Caenorhabditis elegans: one gene and its partners. The protein of the gene in region 1 interacts with the protein of each later gene in a pairwise test. Each region holds a gene or a part of one and is shown in the gene's direction. Other genes may lie near its edges.

Region 1 (6,354 bases):
TCCTTAAATAATTTATAGATCTCATTGTGGTACTTTTCCTTTTCTACCCGCATTTTTTACAAATCATTGAATTATTCAAATTAAATTCTCACGTGAATGCGGGGTAGAAAAGGAATAGTACCCTCATTGTATATACATTTGAAACAATGCAGATTAATTTTATATACAAGATATAATAATTAAAGAAGTAAACATGCCTACCAGGTTTTAGATAAAACAAATTATCTAAACCCTTGGAAGGTGATATATTTTCCTTTCACCTTATCTGTCATCTGAATATCTCTTTTGCTAGCCTCTTGAAATAGTTTTTTTTGACTGCTTGAATTCAATCTAGTTCTCATGAGAATCAATCTTTTCTCTCCGTCCAATAAGCATGTGTATGTATTTATGTTTCAACCGGTTTTGTCAAGTCTTCAATTTAAAGTCACTATCTAGACGAAATGCTTGGCTCAGTTTGAAACCTGGGCTTCTGAATTGATTTAAATTGCTGAAACTTTAAGTTAGCTTTACGGTTTGAGCAAACAGAATGTAGTTTGATAAGGTTTAATAGAAATTTTTAAATGTACTGATCTGATCTAAAAATGCTCAGAAGCTGATTATTTCCCCTCACTTTATACATATTGAAATTTGGTTTTTCAAAGAGCAGCCTGGTGAAAATTGCAGATCTAAGTTAAGTTTTGGTATTTCATTCTAGTTATTATGCAAATACATTCTTTTCTGAGAAATTAAGACAATCTCTTAAATTAATTACATTTTTTTTTGTAATTCCAAACAGCTGAAAATGTTTGCATTTGTATAATTTTAACTATGTATAACAGTAGTTATTTATTTTTAAGCAAAACTGTTTTGAGCTAGATTTCACATTTTTCAACTGTTGTTTCAGCAAATATGACAAATTTTGATAGTTTTGAACGTGATTATAAAATTTTGAGAAATTTATTGACGGGAGCTTGAAAAAACATTTTATTTCATTTTACAATGCAAAACTTTTCTCATTCTAAGACTTAAATGTGAATAAAGTAACAGTGTCATTATTTTTTATTGAAAATTGTCATATTCAAAATTGATAGGTTAAGCTGATAAAATAAGAGAATTTTGTTTTAATATAGTCAAAAAATATTCTAAATATCTTACAGTTTTAATTTAATTTTAATTCTATAGGAAAAAAAATGAATAGTGTCTTCCCATCTTTGAAGTTATTTTTGAAAACTGATATACTAACTAATGTTCCCAAACTGTCTTAAACCAAAACATTTCTTAATTTTTTTTAAATAAAAAAAATGGGATGAGATGATTATGGACTCTCTCAATGTTTTTTGTTTTGTTATATGTATAAACTACTCGTTTTTAGATAGGGATAGCCATTTAACTTTAATTTTTATGGAAATATCTGGATTGCAAATTTTTGTGCATATTGATCTAAACTTCTAGAAACCGGGTAATTTTATGTATGTATAAAGGCGGTTGTGAAAATCTGGGAAATTGGCGCAACAAATGTAAGACGGGTTTTATTGTTGTCGAAACGTTGTGTGTGGGGCCGCTCCTGGTGCGAGTGCGTACGACAAGCCGGTTATTGAGAAAACGCGAACAAATCGAGGACCGGTTTTGGATAGTTGTCCGCATCGATCCTCCGCACACTGTCTTTGCTTTTGCCTCTTTTTCTCTCTCTCACCGCACAGGCCCATCAGCCCGTTTCTACTGCCTCTATACACTCCGCTTTGCCTGTGATTCTAATTTCTCTCAAAGTTTAATAACTCAACTTGTTTTTTATTTGTTAATTTTATAAAATAAAATAATTAATTGAATTATTACGTTTCATTTTGATTTGTGATTGAAAAAAATCAATTAATAGTTAAAAATCATTCTGCAAAATTGCACAAAGAATTTTCTCTGAGGTACTTATTCCAAAATGTAATACTATTTTTAGTTTAGAAAAAAGGCTGACTGACAGTTCAATTTAATTTTGAATCGCGTTAAACTTCGCCGATATTTTATTGTTTTTAATTTTTTATTTTTGATCCCTATCTCTTTCTTCCAGATCTGTAAAAAATGAAGCAAGTAAAAGCCGAAATTGTGGATTTGGAGTACGAAGAAGCTGAAAAGTGGCAAGAGCAGGAGGACGATGAAGATGCTCTGATGATTGCTCGAAAAATAAAACAAGAATTTGACGAAGCAAATACCCCTTCACCAGCTCCACCACCAACGCACATTGTGAGAGAACGGTATGCTTATCATTTTAATTAGTTTAAAAATGATAAAAGTCTGTCTTTATTTTTCAAAACTCAGAGTCCAATTTCTTTTTTCTCTCCGTTCGAAAATGTTCTGGTGGCACATAAATTCACATAAAACCGGGTGCCCGGCTCGCGAGCCACTTGCATAAATATACCGGTCGGTGACCGTCTATTTGCGGCACGCAATGATCAATCGAAACTTTTGTCGTTTTATTTTTTAAAGACCGGTTATTCGTTAGTAGATTTTTTTGCCTTTGAAAACAATTATTGTTATGACATCAAGCTACACATATAAATTCATTTATTAAAAAGTAGCTGAATTATTATGTGTTTCCAGTACTTTTAACATTTTCCACCAAACAGTTTCGAATTGTTAAAAGAAATTCTAGGTGCATTTAGAATGAAGTCTGAATTTTAAGCAATTGAGTTTTAAGCAGCAAGTAGCAGCATTTTAAATAGCAAGTATCTCATAATTGACCATAAGTTTAAAATGTTTGGCCACTTACAAAAAGGGAAAAATATGATTTAAAAGGGCTCCAAATCCAGTTTTTTTTTTGAAAAATCAGGTGTGTAAAGGAAAATCTAAACATCTGAAATTGATAGTTACTCATCAAAATTAATTTTAAAAAACTTAAATTATGAATGTATTTTAAAACAAGTTAAAACAAACTAACACAAAACTTCTTATGCAATTTTTTAAATTTTTTAAGCAGCGATAGTTTTTCTATTAGTGGCGTTTTATAATTATACAGTTTTTTAATTGTGAGCTTTGTGAGCTGGCTTAATCATTCCATTATTATCAAAACAACAATTAATTATCTTCTATAATACACGTCTTTTCTCTATGCTTTTAAACAGAGAAAAACAAGCTAGATATATTTTTTGTCGCGAACTAAACCCGGAAGTACGTATCCGTCACTACTTCAATCACTAGAATTCATTTAAAATGAGGGAAAAAGGATGACTGGTTAATTAATCCGGACATTTTGGCATTATTCTGACAGCTGATGTGGAGATCAGAAAATAAAAATGCGAAAAGTCCGTTACATCACACACTAATCTCATTGTGCAAGAGGGCAACAATTCTCTGGTCGATCTGCAGAAAAGTGTAACAATGGTGTAAACATACAAAACCTGGGATAATGAGTTTTGATCGGGTGCAAATGTTTCAGTTTAAAAATAAACTGAGATGAGAGATAATGATGCGAGTTTGAGCCGAGGGGTTTTTATTATGAAATTCATATAATTTAAAACATCAGAAAAACAACGTTAGAATGTGAAACAAGCAAATACAATTTAAAAGTTTTTAATAAGATTGAAATTCGAAAAAAATTCTTGAAACGAAAATTGGTGCATAATGTAAAAACTTTTACGTGGATGTTTCAGTGAAACCATATTTTATGGTCGAGTTTGCGCAGAATGATTATTGCAACGAATGTGCTTAATATACTAGTTGTAATCACAGTGTAACCGATTTTATTCAATTAAAATTTTTTGTATATTTTAAGGATTGGAAATATTCATCTCACAATTTAAAAATAATAACAAGAGTGTTGAAATACCGGAAATTGATTCAAAACATTTTGCAGTACAACAATGTACGCAAAAATATTTTCTCTTCTTAAAATCAATATTCCCTTGTAAAAAATGCATAGAAAAACGTTTTTTGTTTTCATTTCATGTAATTTTCAGACTACGTCAAGTGGAAGTCGAGCGACCTTCTGCCCCAATTGTTTTCGATCATTTCATTTGTATGCGCATTGGATTAAATTCTAAAAACAATGTTCAGAGGCTGATGGCTCTTTTGGTATGGCGTTGGACGTGTGTTATGGCATTTATATAGTTTTTTTTTTTAATTTCAGACTGCCCATGAATTTGTTGACCTTACTGTGCTGCCAGGACCGTCAATGATACCGCCTCCTCTACCTCAAATGATCCCGATGGGTAAGAAAAATGCCTTTTTTAATCAAAAATAACTAACTACAATATTTGAAAGCCCGAGGTGTGAACAAAGCATTTATTTTATTTTCAGGAATCCCACGTCACAATTCTGTTCCACCAACCCGTTTTATAGGGGCATGCCAACAAGAGGCATCCACTTCGAATGGAGCACCGCATGAAATAATTAACATGGATTCACATATAAGAATGACGCCACAGTTCCCAAGTGCCAAAGCAAAACGGAGTATGGTCAGAAAATTGGCGCAAAAGCCGATTATCAGATCCATGGTAGGTAAAAGTAAAAATGTATCGAAAATACATGCTAACGTTTAGACATCAACAGAATGCGGTATATTTCCGATAAATATGCAGTGCAGGAAGTGTGATGAAATACTACCAAAAGGGTCACAGTAAGTTTTTTTAAAAATTTTTTGTCAAATGAAAAAAAAGCGTATTAAAAATTGAGTGAAAATTGTTTTTTTTTTCAGGTGCTTCATAATCGTAAAACATGACCGAATTTATTAATAAAGTTTATTTTAAAAAACTCTCAAATATTTTCATGGTCTTTCATGCCAATTAGCCCAAATCTTTAAGTTTGTCATCAAAAATTGAATAGCTGTTTAGTGCACTCGTCAACTGAAAAACTATTTGAACTTAAAAAATTCAATACGTTGTAGATTAAAGATAAAAAGCAGTCCACATGGGCTGCTATAAATACATAAGAAAGGGGGTGGAGAAACTGTAGGAATGGCGGGGCAAAAGCACTTTGACAAAAGGTACTGTGATAAAAGCAAGATCAAATATTGCTGATATTAATTATATGGGAAACAAAAGATGAAAGAAGAGATAGAAGAGTACGAGTTCTCGTACACCCTGAATGAAGTTGAGACATTTTTGTATAGTCTCGATAAAAAAGATCAGTGGGGCTTTTGATTTTTTCAAGAGATTTGTAGGCATTTTTAAATTATCTAGGTGAACAAACCCATGGTAAACAAACTCAAAACATTATTCGTAAAAATATATTCCATCAGTTTCTCAACAACTTTTTTCCAGCGGATCGAGTGCCTTGAATCATGTGCAGAAAAACCATCTGAAAATGGCAGCATTTCAGTGCAGAATATGTAAACATTACCGGACAACACAAGAACGAGTAAGTATCTATTTCAATTGCTTTTTCAAATATGATTATTTTTTAAAGATACAATCTCATGTGACAACAGTACATAAGGCAAAATCCACAAAGTTCGACTCATCATTAGCCGGGCCGTTATCAGCTGAAGACATGAAGAAAATGGAAGAAATGATTACTTATTGCTTCCCAAGACTGAAAATGGTAGGTATTCAACGGTACTTTTAAAATAAATCTCTTTTTTATTGTAGGAACTTCAAGTAACTGATCGCCTTATTGCAAAAACTATGGAAGTGGATCTCAGCGGAAACAAATAAACATATGCAATTCAATATAATAAACTAATTCATTCTTTAAATTTTATTCTTATAATTTTTCATCAGATTTCTCGATTAGAACTTTGAAAAAGTACAAAATCTCTAGTCCAACTTGTTTGCTTTGTCACGCTTTGTTTAAATAAAAATGAAGAAAATTAACGATATTTAGATTTGGGTTTTTCAAAAATCATATTATACACATGCATTCTTATTATTATTCAACTATTGGAGCATTTTTTATCGGTTATATTAAATATTTTCAAGGTTATAAAAATTAAGTAAATATGACATCAAATAATCGGGTACAGTGCTGGTCATGAAGGTATGCACAAACGACTTTTCGTGAATGTGGGGCTGTGTTTAAAAACCATAACTCAATAAGCTAAAAATTGGTTTCGAAAACGGTAAACTAACAAAATGTTAAAAAGGTAAAGGTAAAGGTAGTTCATTATGTCGTTCAAAACATGTTTCAGACGTGTCTCATATATTTTAGATATTGAAATATACTTGAAATATACAGGAAGAAAATGTGATTTCTTACAACAAAAAATACAGATGAAAAGTGTTATATGCAAGTTTTTATCTCTCCGGAATATCAACTTTTAGTGTTGCGTGTCACTTCACACTTCACAGTCACTTTTTGTCTGTATTGTCACATTATTGTGTCCCAACTTTTGTACTATTTTGTACTGTTTGAACATACTGAATAGTGTAGTCAGATTAGCAATTCAACGTT
Region 2 (4,319 bases), on another chromosome or scaffold:
AAAAAAGATAGTTTCCAGCCGCTTGACAAGTCGGTCAAATTTTCAATTTTAACTAATCTTAGCCCATTTTTTGAGCCGTCATAACTTTTTTTTGAGAATTTTTCAAGGAGTTTCATTATAAAATTAGGAGTTTTCAGACAATTTTGAGCCTGATAAGGTAATAAAAAATTCGACTACACCACCTTAAAAAAAACCCAAACTCACCATATCTTGCGGATGCAATCGCAATCAAGAACACAAAGATGCTGGCCAAACTGACACCATCAGACGAAAAGTGCTTCCAATCAACATGTGGGTCCAAGTTTGTAGCGTTATTCCCGTCGAAAGAGTGAACCATATCGTGCCACCAAGTTCCCATAGTGAAGTTTCCAAAGTATCCACCAAGGTTCATAGGAGATCCCGGGAGGAACACGGATATAACTGCTAGAACCGCAAAAAACTGCTGAACAACCAATCCCAGTAGTCCTGAAGTGGCGACACTGTATCGCTTTTCGAAGAATGCGTAGGAAAACGCTCCAAGGATCGCAGTCACGGATCCATAGGATCTGAATGCTCCGATAACAAATTCCGGAAGCCCTACACTTGAGCCATATCCTACAGCTAATCCATCAAATCCCATCACTGTCATGAATAGAAGACTCATTCCAAATGCAGCTGGGAATGAGATCTGGCACCAGTACGTGTAAACCACAGATTCTTTGAGCCTTGAATTGGCGAATGGGTCTAGCGCTTCATCTTTCTTGTCTTTCTTCACTTGAAGCAGAGGATTGGAGATGTAGATTGCTCTAAGGAAAATGGTTTTTGAAGCCATTGAAACAAGAGAGGCTATACCAAATATTCCAACTGTTTCACGAAGACCAACCCAGGTCACCAGAGCCTTAACTTAGTTTGTTTTTACTTTGGAATTAAAAAGCGAACACAGAACTAACACCAGTTACTAACGGTGCAATAACATTGGTACATTGATCCAATGTCAACAGAGTTGCGTTCATATTCGACAGTGTACCATCATTTCCGAGTACCATAACCCAATCTCTGCCTGTGATGAACTTTTCCGCGTTCAGGAAAAGCCGGTTCACCGCGCATATGCACATTGCTAGAACCAGGCAGACTATGTACCACGGTGACGTGGCATCGATAGACAGACAAGCTTAAAATATTTTAGCTTCGAGTACCTACATCAGTGTCAAATTAGAACTCACTGATAATAAGAGCAGCTGCAGCACAAATACTCAAATTGTTCAACGGTACGACGGTCATGATTGCTGAAATTGAAAACTTGATTTTCTCTTACAAATACTCACGAAATAAGTATTTGATTGTAGTTTTTGTTAGGTCAATGTGATACTTGAACAAATCATTTTTGCAGTAATCGAAATTTGTAAAAATGAATCGTTCACGTGGAGTCAGAACGTCCCATTTTGCTGTGATCTTCGAAAAATGCGAGAGAAGAGACGCAGAGATCTCATCTGATTTTGCATGGTTAAGAGCGTGCTGACGTCACAATTTTTCTGGTAAAATATTCCCATTTGTCGTAGATCGAACCGCAATGAGGCAGGCTGACACCACGGGATCGTTTAGTTGTCTACCGTACCCCGTTTCCTCGAGAGCCCGTCGAAATGCTTTCCTAAATATCCGCTGAGAAACATTTGCAAGACTCCCTCGAAAAGCTGCTCAATGGAAACCACTCTCATACCACCCATCAGGTCCATACAAAGAGAGACACAGAATGACCAAGCCCTGTCTTCCTGTAAATAGTATCGAAAAATTGAATGTTCATGTTTTTCCACATTGAACTAAAAAACAATTTTGAAGTTTATAAAAGTATGCGAATTTCTTTTTTTTTCTTCCTAGTTTTAAATTCCCTCTACACTCACCAAGCATGTCGAAATATAGGCACAATACAAAAATATGCTCGTTTTCGAAAGGGTGCCACTGTTTCGTCGATTATTCGGTTGTTGAAAAGTCATTGTCACAGGAATCAAACTGGAAATCTCTGCACTTCCATCGCCCGCGACACACTTACTGATTTCCATGTTAGCGATAACCTCTATATATTCTGTGATAACGGGCAGGAAGTTCAACAAAGTGTTGGTGCACATACATCATGAATTTTTTCTCTTGTCAATCAAAGATTATTTGAATAGGCCACTCGAGTGCACTGCTCACCGTCTCTTTTTTTTTCATCTTTGCTCGTCTTACCGAACACTTTTTCACGCGATAAATTGTTTGCCGCGCGGCATGAGAAGGCGGAAGATGGTTGGGATAGTTTCAAGCGAGATGGTATATAAGCCCACAATCAAATGGAAATACTCATCCGATACTTTCGGCTCTAATCATGCGCTTCACCTCCCTCGCCATTGCCTTCTTCGCCTGCGCCCTAGTGGTGTCTGTAAGTTGTGCAAGATCTAAAAATTTGAGTCTACGAATATTAATTTTCAGGGCAATGTGCTTCGTGAGAAGAGACAATGCGGATGTGCTCAACCCCAGCAGAGCCAATGCTCGTGCCAACAGGTTCAACAGACTCAATCGTGCTCGTGCCAATCTGCTCCAGTTCAGCAACAATCCCCATCATGCTCTTGCGCTCAACCACAACAAACCCAGAATGTTCAGGTTACTAGCAAACTTATGCTATAGCTCCAAAGAGAGACTTTCAGGTCCAAACCACTCAATGTGCTCCAGCTTGCCAACAGAGCTGCACCCAACAATGCCAGGCTGCACCATCGGTAGCCCAGTGCCAGCCACAATGCCAACAGCAGTGCCAATCCCAGTGCGCTCCAATGTACAATCCACCAGCCACCACCACACCAGCTCCAGTCGTCCAATGCCAGCCAATGTGCCAACAGCAGTGCCAATCCACCTGTGTTCAGCAACAACAACCAGCTTCCCAATGCCAGCCACAATGCCAGCAACAGTGCAACGTTGCCTGCGATGCTCCAGCCACATCCACTCAGGCACCACAAGTAGTCCACATCCAACTCGAGATCCAACAGGCTCAAGCTCAATGCCAACCACAGTGCCAGCAACAGTGTCAATCATCCTGCACCCAACAACAACAGCCAGCTAACCAGTGCAATTCGGCTTGTAACAGCCAGTGCTCCAACATTTGCCAACAAACTGCTCAAGCCACTCAACAGGTCTACAACCAGAACTCTAACACCAACACCCAAATGTACAATCCATACAACAACAACAACCAAGGTTCCGGATCCGCCAACTGCGCCCCAGCCTGCCAGCCAGCCTGTGACAACTCCTGCACTTCTCAGACTCCAGCTCCAATGTACAACCCATACGATGCCAGCACATCCGCCCCAGCATCTTCCCAAGCTGTGATCCAAATCGTTCTCCAATCCTCCGTCGCCCAGTCCTCCCAGTGTACTCCACAATGCGAGCAGTCGTGCCAGCAGCAATGCGTTCAGCAACAACAACCAGCCGCTCAGTGCCAGTCTGCCTGCCAGGACTCGTGCTCCAGCTCCTGCCAAGCCGCTCAGCCAGCGACTACGGCTTGCCAGCAGAGCCCACAAAGCCCACAAAACTCGTGCTCCTGCCAAGCTAACTACTCTCCATGCGGAAATGGACAGTGCTGTAGAAGAAAGTGAACGGACTCTGAACAATGACTTCAAGTTTTTGTATATAATGAAACCAATTAGTTTCACAAGAACTTAATAAACAACTTTGATATTTTAATTGATTTACATTATTTGGTTTTTTATTGTCTAGAAAATGAACAATGACTACAAAACTTATAGCTGGCTCACAGTTTATTGACTAGATTAGCACTAAAAAATAACATGGCCGCTTTTCAAGGAAAGGTTTTTATTTTATTTTATTTTTTAATGTCAGACTTCAAAACGAGACAAGTGCCATTTAAAAGTGTTCCATAAGGATATATTACTACAAAATTTTAAGCGGCAAAGCTCCACTCTCAACCCCTCTAGCATCGATCTGAAACTGTTACAGTGCACTTCTTCACTACTTTGGAGGCCTGTAGAATTGCTCCAAATTTTTTTTGTTGCAAACTTTCAATGTTTTTCAAAACGGTTAAAAGTAGGTAAGCATTCTGGAAAATTTTTGAAAATTTTTAAATTTTTTCAAAAAATCTGAAAAATTTTTGAACCGAGTGGAGTGGATTGAGGAAATTTTTAGATTTTTTTTTCAAAAATTTTTTAAAATTTTTAAAAATTTCCCAGAATGTAAACTTATTTCTAGCCGTTCTAAAAAACATTGAAAATTTGCACAAAAAAAATCAGGACCAATTCTACTGGCCTGAAACAATTTAAGATCGAAATTTTTGGGGTTGAGAGTAGAGCTTTGCCGCT
Region 3 (5,703 bases), on another chromosome or scaffold:
ACAACAAATCCAGCTCCTGGGACGAAACATGCGCGGCGTGGAGCACGACAGGCTCTGGAACCAGCTGGAAGCCGAAATTCACCTCCACAGGCACAAGACAGTGATCCGGGCTTGCAGGTAGGCGGTCACGTTTCCCATGGCCGCTCCCCACTTGAACAATTTGCCATTCTTGCAGAGGACGGGGTAACACGAAGGGATTAACGGCGCCACTTCGTCACAACTTCAAGAGCCTCCGAAAACGAAATGGAGTGGGAAAGAGCAGGAAAGTGGTGCTCTCGAAACACCCGCACGAAGGGCTCGGCATTTCTATTACGGTAGGTGGGGGGACTTGGATGGTTTTGGGCCAGTAGATCATTGACTAGACTTGTTCCTTTGGGGATCCACGGGATCCTGTAAGATCTGAGAGTTGATCCAGTTCCCGTAAGACCAAATGTGCCATCTGATTATGAGGTACTTTTGCACGTGGTGTCAGGCTGTCCCATTGCGGTTTGATCTACAAAAAATGCGGGAATTTTTCTCCCAGTCAGTTGAAAAGTCTGCGTCTCTTTTCCCGCATTTTTTGTAGATCAATGTAGATCAATCTAAAATGAGACACTCTGACAACCCCTGCTTTTGTAGTTCTGCTGCATAGCTCAAAACTACTCCAGATAGTTTGCGGAGCTCCGGATGGATCCTAGTTCTTCAAGATCTTAAAAAATCCTACTGGATCCTAAAATCCATTTCCAGGGAGGATCCGAACACGCTCTACCCATAGTGATATCTGAAATCCAGCCGGGACAGCCTGCTGACCGATGTGGACAGGTCTTTGTGGGCGACGCGATTCTCTCAGTAAACGGCTACGATCTTCGGACTGTCAAGCATCAGGAGGCAGTGGATATTTTGAGTGGGCAGGTAAGATGCTGCCAGGGGCCCTCCACCTACATCCCCTCCAAATTCCAGGTACAGCAAGGCGACCTAGACCTGGAGCTCGTCTTTGTGTGCCCCGATGAGGATAGTGATGATGATGGGACGGTGACGATCGAGCACAGCGATGGATCTATGTGAGTTATTGGGAATTTTTCGGCGGGAAATTTGAATTTCCAGTTAGTTTTTAGCGGGAAATTTAAATATTCAATCGATTTTCAGCTGGAAATTTTGATTTTCTGTTAATTTTTGGCGGGATTTTCATATTGCCAGTTAATTTTAGGCGGGATTTTTAAATTTCCAATTGATTTTGAGCTAGAAATTCAAGTTATAAGTCAGTTTTAGGGAGGAAATTCAAATTCTCAGTTAACATTTAACTGGAAATTTAATTTTTTAGTTAATTTTTCAACTGGAAAATCAAAATTTTGGTCATTTTTCAATAGAAAATTCAAATTTTTTGTCGTTTTACTATAGGAAATTCAAATTTTTAGTCAATTTGCGACAAAAAATTCTAAATTTTCTGTCTATTTTCGGCAAGAAATTCAATTTTTCAGCCTATTTTTTGGGGGAAATTCAACTTTTTAATGAATTTTTCGGCGGGGAATTCCAATTTTTTGTCGTTTTTCTATAGGAAATTCAACCTTTTAGTTAATTTTTCGACGGGAAATTCAAATTTTCGGCCAAATTTCAACAGAAAATTCGAATTCCCAGTCAAATTTTTAAATTTTTGTTTTAGCTACAACCTCTACAGTATGGAAGAGCCCACGTCAAGCCGATCGTCCAACAATTCTGATGAATCACGCAGCACGTGACCTCCAAAATGTGGAATTTTTTGACGGGTTTTATTTAATTTTTTTTTCAAAAAAAAAACTTTTTTTTGTATATTTTCCCGTGACTTTCCTCCTCCCCCTAATTGCCACGTCATTTCCTCCAACTCATTGGATTTTTTTTTGGCTTTTTCCAACTTTTTGCATAAAAATCTTTTATTGTTTGAGTTTATCGATTTTTCTTCCGCAAAAAAATCAATAAATGACGTGTCAACAAATCAATCGTCTTACTGCTGTCTTCAATACGGCAATGTCCAAGGCGCTGGCTTCCGATGAGAAGGACGACTGGATTACCCATTTGAAGGCAATTTCGAATGTTTTTACGCAGGTAATATGATCTTCCGGTCGGGCGGGAATTTGAAAATTCTGGGAGAAATATTGATTTTTTGGAAAAATGTCAGTTTTCCGGCAAATGTCATTCAAAAAATTATTGATTTTTCGTCGCACTCCAACGACACTCCGATATTCCGCTGACTAAAAGTAGGCGTGGTCAGGCGGGAATTTAAAAATTTCGCTTTGAAAATCAGTAAGAAATCATCGATTTTTGTGAAAATTGTTAGCTATCCGGCTCGAAATATCGAAAAACGGTTTGAATTTTGTTTAGTATAAAGTTTCTTTAAAATCCCGGTCGGGCGGTAGTTTAAAAATTTTAGAAAAAATCGATAATGTATCGACTTTTCGGTATCCCGGTACAAAACTGTGGCGGGAATTTGAAAAGTTTCCAATAGTTACTTCAAAACTCCTTTTTCTCGGTTATTGAAAACTTGGCAATGACGAGAAAAATCGATAATTTATTAATTTATCACAAACTATTTTTCCAGGTTTGCACTTTGTCCGCCAGTGAAGAATCCGCTAAGAAATTGGCAATCAAGGAGCGTGAGGAGTGTCTCCAGGAGCTCGTGGAGCTTCGTGCCATAGCTGAAGCCCATGATGACGTCATCCAGCAGTTCCACTTGTTGCTGGCCGCGAATCATCAGGGAGACGCGACTTCCAGGCAGATTTTCAATGATATGGTGAGGGAATGTTGCCTGCCTATACCTACCTAGGTGCCTACAAGTACTAGGCAGGCAGGCACTTTCGTGCCTACCTGCCTACTTCAACGCTTAATATTTCAGAAACAAGAAGTCGGTGACAATATGGAAAGGATCCAGGAGCACCGTCTTGTGGAGGCTAAGCTCAACGTGGAGAAGCGGCGTAACGAGCGGATGGCGAAGCATATCAATGAGGTGTCCAAGAAGAGTGTCATGCATCTCATGGCAACCAGGTTCTACGCAAGGGTACGGTTCTACCTAGTCGATGCACCATGTGGGGTAGAGGTTCAGGTAGCTCTGGTTACCCAAAAATTGGTGATTTCCACTTTGGCCACATTTTTTGCTAGCCTAAACCTCAGCCAAAGCCTACACCCAAACCTAAGCCTTAATCCAAGCTTAAGCCTGAGCTTAATCCTAGGCATAAGCGTAAGCCTAAGCCTAAGCCTTGGTCTAAGCGTAAGCCTAGATCACAGCCTAAGCTTTAGCATAAGCCTAAACCTAAGCCTAAGCCTAATACTAAGCCTACGCCTAAGCCTAAGCCTAAGCCAAAACCCAAGCCAAAGCTTCAGCCTAAACATTTTGTCGATGCACCATGACATTTCCCCCACTTTTTTTCTAGATTTTTGGCCCCTACGCATCATCATTTTTTACATGATCATGTCCCCTCCCCACACTTTCCCATGAGACTCATTACAGGAGCTGGCAGCAATGCGACAGATGATGGATTTGGTGCGCAACGCGGCAACGATCGAGTCGGCCGTCAAATCGAAACTGTGGGACGAGATCGAGAAGGAGAACCGCTTGTTGCGTCTCAACACGCTTTGGCTCATCAATCGGTAGGTGATGGATTTCTGTGGGAACTTGTTGGAGCATCAAAAAATTTTCCAGGATCAACTCGTCGGACCTTGGTGATGCTGCATTTGAGAACGGAGACGATTGGCAGAGCTCTCCGCGGCTCGTGATTCTCATGAGAGAGCATATCAATCAGGGGCTTGGGCTCGAGATTACGGTTGGTGCCGAAAAGCCAAAAAATTTGAAGAAATGGAATTATTCAGGGAGGTTGTGATCAGTTCCGTCCGGTCGTGGTCACTGGGAAGTTGAAGCGGTCGATGGCGGACGATGATCAGGTACAGTACTCCTACAGTACCCCTTTTCCTACAGTACCCTTTCCCTTCCTATAGTACCCCTCCCTACAGTACCCCCTTACTGCAGTTATTTCTCTCTACAGTACCCGTTTCTACAGTACACCCTTACTACAGTACCCCCTGCCTGCAGTACCCCACTTCTACAGTACCCCTCCCTACAGTACCCCTTCCCCAGTACTCCTTTACTACAGTACCCCTGCCTACAGTACCCTTCCTACGGTAACCTTCCAGCAGTACCCCTACCTACAGTACTGCCTCCCTACTGTACCAGTCCTCTATAGTATTCTTTTAGCAGTTCATCCTTATTGCAGTACCCCTTCCTACAGTACCCCTTCCCTAATGTGCCCTTCCCTGCAGTACTCCTTTACTACGGTATTTTCTCCCTACAGTACCCCATTTCTACAGTGCCCCCTCCCTACAGTACCCCCTTCCTACAGTACCGCTCTCTACAGTATCTCTCCCTGTAGTATCCCCTGCCTACAGTACCACTCCCTACAGTATCCTCTCTCAACAGTACCCTATTCCTACATCACCCTCCCTACAGTATCCCTCTCCCTACAGTACTCTCTCCCTACAGTACCCCTACTTCATATTTCCAGCTCCGTGTGAACGACCGTATCTTGGCGATCGATGGGACCTTCGTGACCAACACCACCACCCACGCCGAGGTTATGGAAATGCTCGAGAATGAGGTGAGTTTCGCATTAGAGCGCACTTGTAGCCTTATATAAATTTGAATTTCCAGAGCGCCAAGGATTTCATCTCGCTGATTGTATCGCAATTCGACCCGACCAAGTACCACGAGGCCCATCCAAACGGGAAATGTCACAAATTTGTTAGCACACCAATTTCGGGAAAAGCCGATTCGGGGGAGGATGTCTGAATTGTCTTTTTTTTTTTGGTTGCAAAATTTATTTTTCTCTAATTCTCTCCCTCTCGTACAGTTTATAGACTTGTTTGTGTGTCTCTTTTCGATTTTTTTTTTATTTCTTTTTGTGTTTTGCCGCCAATTTTTTTCGTTCTTCTCATGATTACCCCCCTCTGAACCTTTTTAAAAAATAAAAATCAGCGGCTGTCTACGTCTCAGGGATATCAAATGAGACGGAATTAAAGTGGCTCATTTGAGTTTTATAGGTTTTCGGGGAGAATTGATTCCTGGGAGCTTTTCCTCCACTGCTTTTCATTGCTTTTTTGTTGTGGGAACACTCTGCAACAAATTTGGTGGTGAAAACCTGAAAATTTAGCAATTTTCTCATTGGGGCGCATTTGCAACATACCAATTTGAATTTTCAATAGGAAAACTTGTTTCTCTTGTTTTCACATTAACTTCTATCGATTCCTTTTAAATTTTCGCTGAACCGTGATTTTCCAGCAATTTCGCGGGAATTTGAATTTTTAGTTCGAAATTGCACTTTTTTGGTTTTAGCAAAACTGGTAAATAAATATAACAGTTTAAATTGTTGGTTTTGTTGGAAAATCACAAGAAAAATCGATTTTCCAGTTATTTTCTCATTGGGGCGCGTTTGCATTATGCGGTCCGCGAGAATTTAAATTTTTTAAAAAGAAAACTTGTTTTTCGAATAAGTTTAAGACAATTTGCGCTCAAAAAATAGCTAAATGCGTGAAAATTCCAGTAAAAACTCAGTTTTTGCGTATTTTCTCATTGGGGCGCACTTGCAACGTGCGGTCGGCATGAATTTGAATTTTCATAAAGAAAACTTTGTTTTTAGGTGTTTTAAAACACAACTTTTAGTTAAAAATGGTTAGTTGAGTTCAAATATCTTGGAAAAAACATTG
Region 4 (8,365 bases), on another chromosome or scaffold:
CCTAATGAGTTGAAGAAAACGGGAAATGGAAGTGATAGAGCGGAATTGTTGAACTGAAAAATGAGTGGAAAATGGAAATGTTTACGAATTTTATTTTAAAAAAAATCTAAAAAGATGAAAAAAATGCATTAAAATTTTTAATTTATTCTATCGGTATTCGAACATTTGACAAAAAATATATTTCTTCTGAATGCAATTTCTCGTTATTTTTTTTGAATTTTTACTTGAATTTAAAAATTTCAAACTTTCTCATTTTTATCATTTTGATGGAAGTTTAATTAAGAGCATAAAGCGCGGATTGAGGCGGAAGGCAGGCGGAGGTCGCCTTAAGGCCAGGCAGGCGTCTTCACGCCTACATGGAAGCCCAGGAAAATACAAAAAAGTCTCCAACCTCTCCGACACGGAAAAGCTGAATATAGGTGTTTTTTCAAAATTTTGAACCGCCATAAAAGCATTTAATCCTTTTTTTTTTTGAAAAGTTTCATTCTGATTTTCCAGAAATAAGTTTCTAGAATTTCAAAGGGCCTAAGCTCAAGCCTAAGTCTAAGCCTAAGTCTCACGATAGTTTTAGGGTCTCAAATTTAAATAAAAACCTGTATCTAAAAAATCAAAACTGTTCTAAAAAAGCACCCCCTGCTCTACTTTGACAGCCTAAAACTCGGTTCGCTTTGGTTTTATCAAACAATTGCAAACGGACAAAATAAGTGCAAAGTGTTTCCCTATATTTTGGTTATTGCAAATTTTTTGGTAAAACTGAAGACAGCCGAGGTATAAGCCGCCACGTGGTGTCAGGCTGTCCCATTACGGTTTGATCTACAAAAAATGCGGTAATTTTTTTCTCAAAAAATGTGACGTCAGCACGTTCTTAACCATGCAAAATCAATTGAGAACTCTGCCGCATTTTTTGGTAGATCAGCGTAGATCAATCCAAAATGAGACACTCTGGCACCACGTGTGCGGGAAGCTTAAATACTCAAGCTTCAGGGGGTTTTTTAAATTTCAAATCTAAATCCTCTTGACAAGAAAAATAGAATGACCAGAAACCGAAGCGAGAAAAAAGAAAAAAAAGTGGCGACCTCTCTTTCTCTCTTCCTGTCCATTGACTAAAAGGCAAATCGGATCGGAAGGTAATCCAGTCGTAAAATTGGTGGAAGGTTTCCTATACTAAAATTATATCATAGAATACGGAGTGCAGGAGGTCGGGTTTTTTTTTCAAATGAATTGATATAATAAAATTGAAAAAAAAACGCTCAAATTTTGTATCATATATATGGGAATAAAAAGTTGATATTTGTCAAAATCATGGAATTTGCTTTTCCCTTGCTTTTTGCACTCAACTTGTCTCTCCTATTCATTCTCTGTTCCCCGCCCGCCCCGCTCCTCGCCGCCCAATTCGTCAGAGGGGTACGGTAGACAAGTGGGTGGAGCGTGCGTGTTATGTAGTGTCCTCCTTTCTGCTCCTCGGCCTCATCACCTTTCACGGCCCCCCGCCCCTTATTCTCTTTATAGTCTCTTTGGTGTTTTCCAACACAAGGGGGAAAGAGGAAACACCTTTTTAATGCGTTTATAAAACTTTTTTAGTGCTCTCTTAATCTTTATTACTTGTCTCGCATGCATGTTTCAACATTTATGTTATTTATGTGCCCCCCCAGCTTTTATTTTATTACCCTCAAAAGGTTTATGAGGTTTAAAATTATTTTATTGGTGCTTAAGGTTTTGATTGCCGCGTTTGTCGCCGATAAATAATAATTACTGTTATAAGCTTATTTACTAATTAATTAATTTTCCGCGTCAAAATCCTAAATATATCGTAGCTAAAGCTTTATATCTAGTTAGTATGGCCCCCCATCAATCGACTTTGTCGTCTTATATTTCAGCGGTTTCATAAGATTTTTGATACCTTCAAAAACCAGAGCATAACTATAGATTTGAAAAAGATATTGTCGTTCGAGTTTTTGACATATGATCAAAAAGAACCGAGATATAAGCGTTCAAAGTCGAGTGAGGGGGGCCGTACTAATAGGAAATATACGGTAAATGACTACTGTAGCTCTTACAAGCCGTGCTAAATTCATTTCAAAAATCGAGCCCGTAAATCGACACAAGTGCTACAGTAGTGTTCAAATATAAGCTTTTTAAATTCTCGTTTTTCTTTTCCTTACTTTTTCAAGCTCAATCTCGCAAAGTGCTCAACTTTCAGGTTCAAAAACAGATCTCCAAACCCAAATAACTCCCCAAGCTGCTCATATATGGAATGATTTCGGTGATGCAACAAATGATTAATAACGACTCTCCAGAAGACTCTAAAGAATCTATCACCTCTGTCCAACAAACTCCATTCTTCTGGCCAAGTGCTGCTGCTGCCATACCGTCGATACAAGGAGAAAGCCGTTCGGAAAGAGAATCTGAAACTGGGTCGAGTCCACAGCTAGCGCCGTCTAGGTTAGTGTGAAGTTGATTTGGCAAATGACATCTATCATTTTCAGCACAGGAATGGTTATGCCTGGAACAGCAGGGATGTATGGGTTCGGACCAAGTCGAATGCCAACTGCCAACGAGTTTGGAATGATGATGAACCCGGTCTACACGGATTTCTATCAAAATCCGCTGGCCTCAACTGGTTGGTACTCATACGGACAACCGTATCAATTCACAGCTAACTACTCCATTCCAAGTCTCGATGGAAATTTAAGTGGTTAGTTCCAACATCTCACTTCTATTATGTCATTGTGCTCTTCCATCTGCCCGCCCACCTCCGCATTCCTCGCTATCACTAGCTTTGATCTTACCGCCGCGAGTTGCAAGGGTAGGAGAACACGGTTTTCTGCTCCGTAACTCGGAACTTTCTAAAAGATCATAAGTCAATTCGCAGCCTATTTGGATCTCATTCCTTTCCTTTTCCGCATAACAATCATAAAATTATTAATTACCGTTGAGACCTCCCCCACCCATAAATTTCGCCTCGCCCTTGCCCAATTAGTAATCGATATCAAATCACACACGCGCCTTCAATTCCTACCGTACCACTTTATCTTCCGATCATCTCTTTTTTTGTTCGTCATTCTTCCTTATATAGAATCTTCTTCATTTTTTTGCCCCCATACAGTAATCGGAGAGTGCACTCTCCTCGCGGCGCCAGCGGCGACCCTTTCAAGTTGTATATGTGTGTGTGTGTGTATCGACGACGTGTATAAACACGCACTGGCGACACTCTTTTTTTTTTGGAGAAAAGGCAAAAAAGGAGAGGAGAAGACTATATCGATAACAGACACTTTACATCAGTTTTATGGTACGGTAGAGAAGGGGCAAAGTGTCAGAAGCTGTGGTTCTAATTATACCAATATCGATTTTTTGTAAGGTATGCCGTATTTTAATGTCTTATGTAAAACGTAGCTTTTAGGATTTAGGTTTTTTTCCTGAACTCATTTAAGTTTATATATTAGCTATTTTCGCTTTTACGGTGATTTGCTTGAATTGCTCAAACAAGTATAGGTAACTCGAATATGATAACTGCTAGCAAAAAATTTCCAACTAACAAAATGTTGCTGTTGATTTTTTCCACATCCTTGATATTGCCATAATTACATAACTTTGTTTACAGCAACTGACATCCGGCGGGACTGTTTTTTCTTTAACTAGAATAGAATTACTAAGTACCCCATGACTTTTGAACTAGGTGTGTATAGCAGTTTATACTACCGTATATTTCCTATTAGTATGACCCCCCCCCCTATCAATTGACTTTGTCGGCTTATATTTCAGCGGTTTCAGAAGATTTTTGGTACCTTTAAAAACCAGAGCATAACAATAGATTTGAAAAAGATTTTGTCGTTTGAATTTTTGAAATATGATCAATCAAAGAGAACCGAGATATAAACGGTCAAAGTCGAGTGAGGGGGGCGCCATACTAAAAGGGAATATACGGTGCACTTTCAGATTTTTTTTAATGCTGGAAGTTGTGAATCACCATTCTCAAATAAAAAAGATCAAAAACCAGTGTAATAGAATCTCAAATCTCAAACCTCCCAGCAACAAATCAACAGTCTATAAAATAACTCAACTTGGCGCCTTATGGTACTTTTCGGGGGGGCGCTATACATGTCCCTATCACTCATTCACAAATTGCCTTTTCGCCCAAAATATTTCGTTTTTCTCCCCGTCTCTCTCGCTTGCTGTGTGTTATCTCCATTTTCGATTTTACGACTCCGTGTGGCTGCTTGGCTTCGTCCCGCTCCCCGTATTTGGAGAGGCAGAGAGACTCTCTTTTTTGGCGTCACGACGACTGCTGCGCAAATTTTCGGATTAAAAACAGCGAGTGGAGGGGGGGGGCAGCCCCCATTTCAATTAGGGGAAGGACAAATTGAGATACGGTAGTTAGGGATGGGCGAAGATGAGGGAGAAAGAGCTGGATGGGGATACGACAGACATGTTGGAGCCTTCTTTGGAATGTTCTTTTGGGATCGGGAAGGGCTATTCTAAAGGTACATAATGTTTTTCTCAGTGGGTCTCGCTACGGCGTCCGTAGTTTTTTTTTATCGATTTTAGTGACACGTATTACTAAAACTAAAAGCTGCTTGTCATGTTGATATAATGCGGAATTCGATATCGAGATTAGCGGGAGAAAGAACTAAGGACTTTAAGCGACTTTGAGCACTTTTTGAAGCATCTAGTAACTTTCTCTATTAGTATTGCACCATATTGTTTAATTTTGAAAGCTTATACCCGAGAAGTGGTACCTTTACGCAGTTTGTCTACCGTATACCTGGCAGTTTGGGTGCGTGTTTCTCAAAAACGGATGGTTCATTTAAAAATTTTTTAATCAAGTTACAGTATTCACAAAAAATTCTAAATTCATTAGGCCAAAGTTTTTTCCTTATAACGCGTCCAATCCGGGTTATGCACGGTGTTCGATGGAGCGCATTTCCACGGATGTACCATTTGCCGTGCCGTGAAAATATTACACGTGGTGCCAGACTGTCCCATCACGGTTTGATCTACAAAAAATGCGGTAATTTTTTGCCCAAAACAAAAGTGACGTCAGCACGTTCTGCGCTTCTCATACTCCCGCATTTTTTGTAGATCTACGTAGATCAAGCCGAAATGAGACACTCTGACACCACGTGATATTACAGTTACGCTAAATTCTGAGAATGCGTGTTGCACAACATATTTGACGCGCATAATATCTCGTAGCGAAAACTACAGTAATTTTTTAAATGACTACTGTAGCGTTTGTCTCGATTTACGTGTCTTCAGAATTAAGTGCAATACTATTACGATAATTAGAAATCTTTAACGCAAGTTTTAGTTTTGAAGAATCGTCGAAGCACCCACATTTTTTGATGTTCCTTTTTTGATTCGATTATGGAAATGATTCACGGCTATGAAAAATGATGTTCTAGAAAAATGACATTCCTGACTAAAAAGTACCGTAACCCTGCTCTAACTTCCAACAGCTTATCCCTTCTCTCTCTGATGCCAGATGTGATCTTCATCTTCTTCCGTATCCTTTCGGCAAGTTGTTCATTTGAAGTTCAAAGTGTATGCCGACCGGGTCCCAGTGTGAGGAGTAGTGTTGTCTAGAATTTTATGACGCTAGTTTTATAGTCGACGACGACGGCGTGCCACTTGCCTTCTCCTACAAATTCTTTGCCCTTCATTGTTTTTTGTTCTGATTTTTTGAAAGATAAAGTACTGTACACTGTACACTTTCGGGTTTTTTTGAATTTTGAAAAAATCGATTCTCAAGTAAGTTTCACAGCAAAAAAGGGTAACTCTATGGCATGACTGAAATGGCAAAGTAAACACCTTTAGAATTCGCAAGCGTAAACTGAATCATCAAATTCAATAAATCGTAAAATGTTGTATCAATAGGGGTCTAGGAGGTATTGTCCCCGTCAAGGATCATCATATATCAAATTGTTGTAAATGGGGAGGATTAGGATATAACAGGTAAACGGAATATGTTGGTATTAAAAGGCCTAAAACATTTACGTAATCTCCGAGCAGAATAGAAGAACACCTGGAGAAACGGGCATGCAAGAAGGCTATAAAATCATCCTGTTGTGGGTAGTTGGCAGATGTTCCCAGGAATTTTGGAAATTTTTTTTTGTAGAAGAGTCCGAGACGTAGTTAGTAATAGTTGAGTAGATCTTCCTTAATTTACTCAAGTTATCAGTAGAGCACGTTTGTATTGATGTACCAGGCGCCCTGCCGTGAGTTATTAGGGAAAGACAAAATTCTGAGAATGCGTATTGCGCAACATATTTGACGCGCAAAATTTCTCGTAGCGAAAACTACAGTAATTCTTTAAATGACTACTGTGGCTTCTTCATATTATTTTCTCATTTTTTGCTCAATTCATTTCAAAAATCAAGCCCCCTGTAGTTTTCGCTACGAGATATTTTGCGCGTCAATAATTTTGAGTTTTGTAATCAGGTACTTTCCCGGAAATTCTTCAACTGTTTGAATTCATATGTCCTTAAAAAGTTGCATAAATTTCACGGAAAACGAGTTAGAGGCTGCCCATCAGGGGTTTGCGGCAAATTTGCCGAAATTACCGTTTGTCGAGCTAGGCAAAATTTGACAATACAATTTTGACCAAAACACTTGATTTTGTCCTCCAAAAATTTAGTAAATTGACACAAAATTAAAAAATTATATCAAAAAGTATCACATTTTTCTGAGCTTAATAAACACGGCAAAATTGCCAATTTTGCCGAATTTGTCTTGCTCGGCAAATTTTGAGATTTGCCGCACAACCCTGGCCCCCCCATATGCTCAGTTTACCGTAATCTAGACAGCTCCTGGCGTCGCCGTCCAATTAATTAGAGTTGAAAGGGACCGGCATGTGTGTCTGCCCCGGGCCTTCTATCCCGAAAACATGGCCCACCCCAATTTTACGACTGGAACCTCCCCCCACCTGCTCTCAGTCTGTGTCATCACACAGACGTCTCAGAATATATATATGCTCCATCTTGTTTTATAGTTATTGATTTACTGCAATCAAAATATTTTATTTTCAGATATCACAATTCCAACGACGGCTGGAAGCAGTGCGGCAACAACTCCGAACGCTGCAATGCATCTTCCGTGGGCAATCTCACATGACGGGAAGAAGAAGCGACAACCGTACAAGAAAGATCAGATATCAAGACTTGAGTACGAGTATTCTGTCAATCAATATCTCACGAATAAGCGGAGATCAGAACTCTCTGCACAATTGATGCTTGATGAGAAGCAGGTCAAGGTCTGGTTCCAGGTATGTTATAGGCAGTATTCAGCGGAAAGTCTAGAGATCATAAATGTGAATTTTTATCTAATGTCCTAATGAAAAAAATTCCAGAAATTTTGGTAAATTCCCAAATTTCCTCATTTTTAAAAATTAATTTTGAGCTTCTCTGGATTTTCAAAAAACGAACATCTGAAAAATACTAAATTTCAATATTTTGAACATTTACAAGGTTTGGGCACTAATAATTGAAAAAATACAATATTTAGCGCCAGCCAAAACGAACTCGAAAAAATTGAAAAATTTTTTAAAATTTCCAGAAAAGTTTTGGCAAAATGCCAAATATTTAAACCTGTTCCGACCTCTAGAATGTTTTATAGGAATTTTTTTGGCAGACTTCCAAAATTATGACTTTCAAAAACTGAGTAATTGTCACTTTTCAAACTTGTCAAACTTGTCAAAATTTTCAAAATTTTTTTGGAAAAGTTTTGCTATCATTTTGGCACCACTGGAGTAGTTTTTAACAATTTCCTCACTGGCGCTAATCCATCAATAACCATACTTTAAAAGTTAAAAATTACTTTTCAGCACGTGGTGTCAGAGTATCCCATTTCGGATTGATCTACGTTGATCTACAAAAAATGCGGGATAAGAGGCGCAGAGTTCACAACTGATTTCACATGGTTAAGAACGTGCTGACGTCACCTTTTTTTAGGAAGAAATTCCCGCATTTTTGTAGATCACACCGTAATGGGACAGCCTGGCACCACTTTTTGTAGCCACACTTTTTTGAACTAAAGTAACATTCGTAATTAATTATCAGAGTGCAAATAAATAAGTTGGACATTTGTGAATTCACGTAAAAATGGAAATGTGCAAAAAGGAGGCAAAAGGTGAGCAGGTTTCAGGCAGGCATCAGGCCTTGAAACCGCATCTGCCTACCATGAGAAATAATTGAAAACTTTAGAAACCTGAAACCGCGCCTGAACATTGTCAAAAACCGTAAATATGTTGTTTTGTCTAAACTCCAACCATTTTAACATTGCATGAATTGTTTTGCTTTCTCTTAACTTCACTGTTTCAGAATCGACGAATGAAGGACAAGAAACTGCGTCAACGACATTCCGGGCCATT

Evidence for each region.
Region 2: the proteins of F57G12.2 (region 1) and pqn-54 interact in a two-hybrid assay, tested with the Caenorhabditis elegans proteins (one large-scale study listed by BioGRID).
Region 3: the proteins of F57G12.2 (region 1) and ZK849.1 interact in a two-hybrid assay, tested with the Caenorhabditis elegans proteins (one large-scale study listed by BioGRID).
Region 4: the proteins of F57G12.2 (region 1) and nob-1 interact in a two-hybrid assay, tested with the Caenorhabditis elegans proteins (one large-scale study listed by BioGRID).

What each region holds. Positions count from the first base shown.
Region 1 is NC_003284.9:12,155,735-12,162,088, reverse strand, and holds F57G12.2 (C2H2-type domain-containing protein), read left to right. Parts: upstream 1-2,036; 5' UTR 2,037-2,049; coding exon 2,050-2,222; intron 2,223-3,923; coding exon 3,924-4,038; intron 4,039-4,093; coding exon 4,094-4,175; intron 4,176-4,263; coding exon 4,264-4,460; intron 4,461-4,505; coding exon 4,506-4,582; coding exon of another isoform or gene 4,583-4,586; exon of another isoform or gene 4,587-4,649; intron 4,650-4,825; exon of another isoform or gene 4,826-4,887; intron 4,888-5,225; coding exon 5,226-5,322; intron 5,323-5,370; coding exon 5,371-5,505; intron 5,506-5,552; coding exon 5,553-5,618; 3' UTR 5,619-5,782; downstream 5,783-6,354.
Region 2 is NC_003283.11:1,462,676-1,466,994, forward strand, and holds pqn-54 (Prion-like-(Q/N-rich)-domain-bearing protein), read left to right. Parts: upstream 1-2,314; 5' UTR 2,315-2,338; coding exon 2,339-2,392; intron 2,393-2,442; coding exon 2,443-2,613; intron 2,614-2,657; coding exon 2,658-3,599; 3' UTR 3,600-3,685; downstream 3,686-4,319. Other genes in the region: fpn-1.2 (Solute carrier family 40 member), read right to left, coding at 205-877, 930-1,150, 1,203-1,265, 1,595-1,748, 1,878-1,970.
Region 3 is NC_003279.8:14,181,873-14,187,575, reverse strand, and holds ZK849.1 (PDZ domain-containing protein), read left to right. Parts: upstream 1-1,868; 5' UTR 1,869-1,980; coding exon 1,981-2,058; intron 2,059-2,551; coding exon 2,552-2,743; intron 2,744-2,845; coding exon 2,846-3,007; intron 3,008-3,457; coding exon 3,458-3,597; intron 3,598-3,649; coding exon 3,650-3,770; intron 3,771-3,816; coding exon 3,817-3,888; intron 3,889-4,505; coding exon 4,506-4,598; intron 4,599-4,651; coding exon 4,652-4,789; 3' UTR 4,790-4,981; downstream 4,982-5,703. Other genes in the region: gopc-1 (Golgi-associated PDZ and coiled-coil motif-containing protein), read left to right, coding at 1-117, 176-314, 727-891, 940-1,040, 1,640-1,715.
Region 4 is NC_003281.10:12,078,152-12,086,516, reverse strand, and holds the start of nob-1 (Homeobox protein nob-1), read left to right. Parts: upstream 1-2,200; 5' UTR 2,201-2,254; coding exon 2,255-2,442; intron 2,443-2,486; coding exon 2,487-2,695; intron 2,696-7,025; coding exon 7,026-7,261; exon of another isoform or gene 7,262-8,315; coding exon 8,316-8,365. UniProt on the Caenorhabditis elegans protein: Transcription factor, involved in posterior embryonic patterning, morphogenetic movements of the posterior hypodermis, and cell fate specification. Binds to the 5'-TAGT-3' motif in regulatory elements of genes, including Meis protein psa-3 and microRNA mir-57.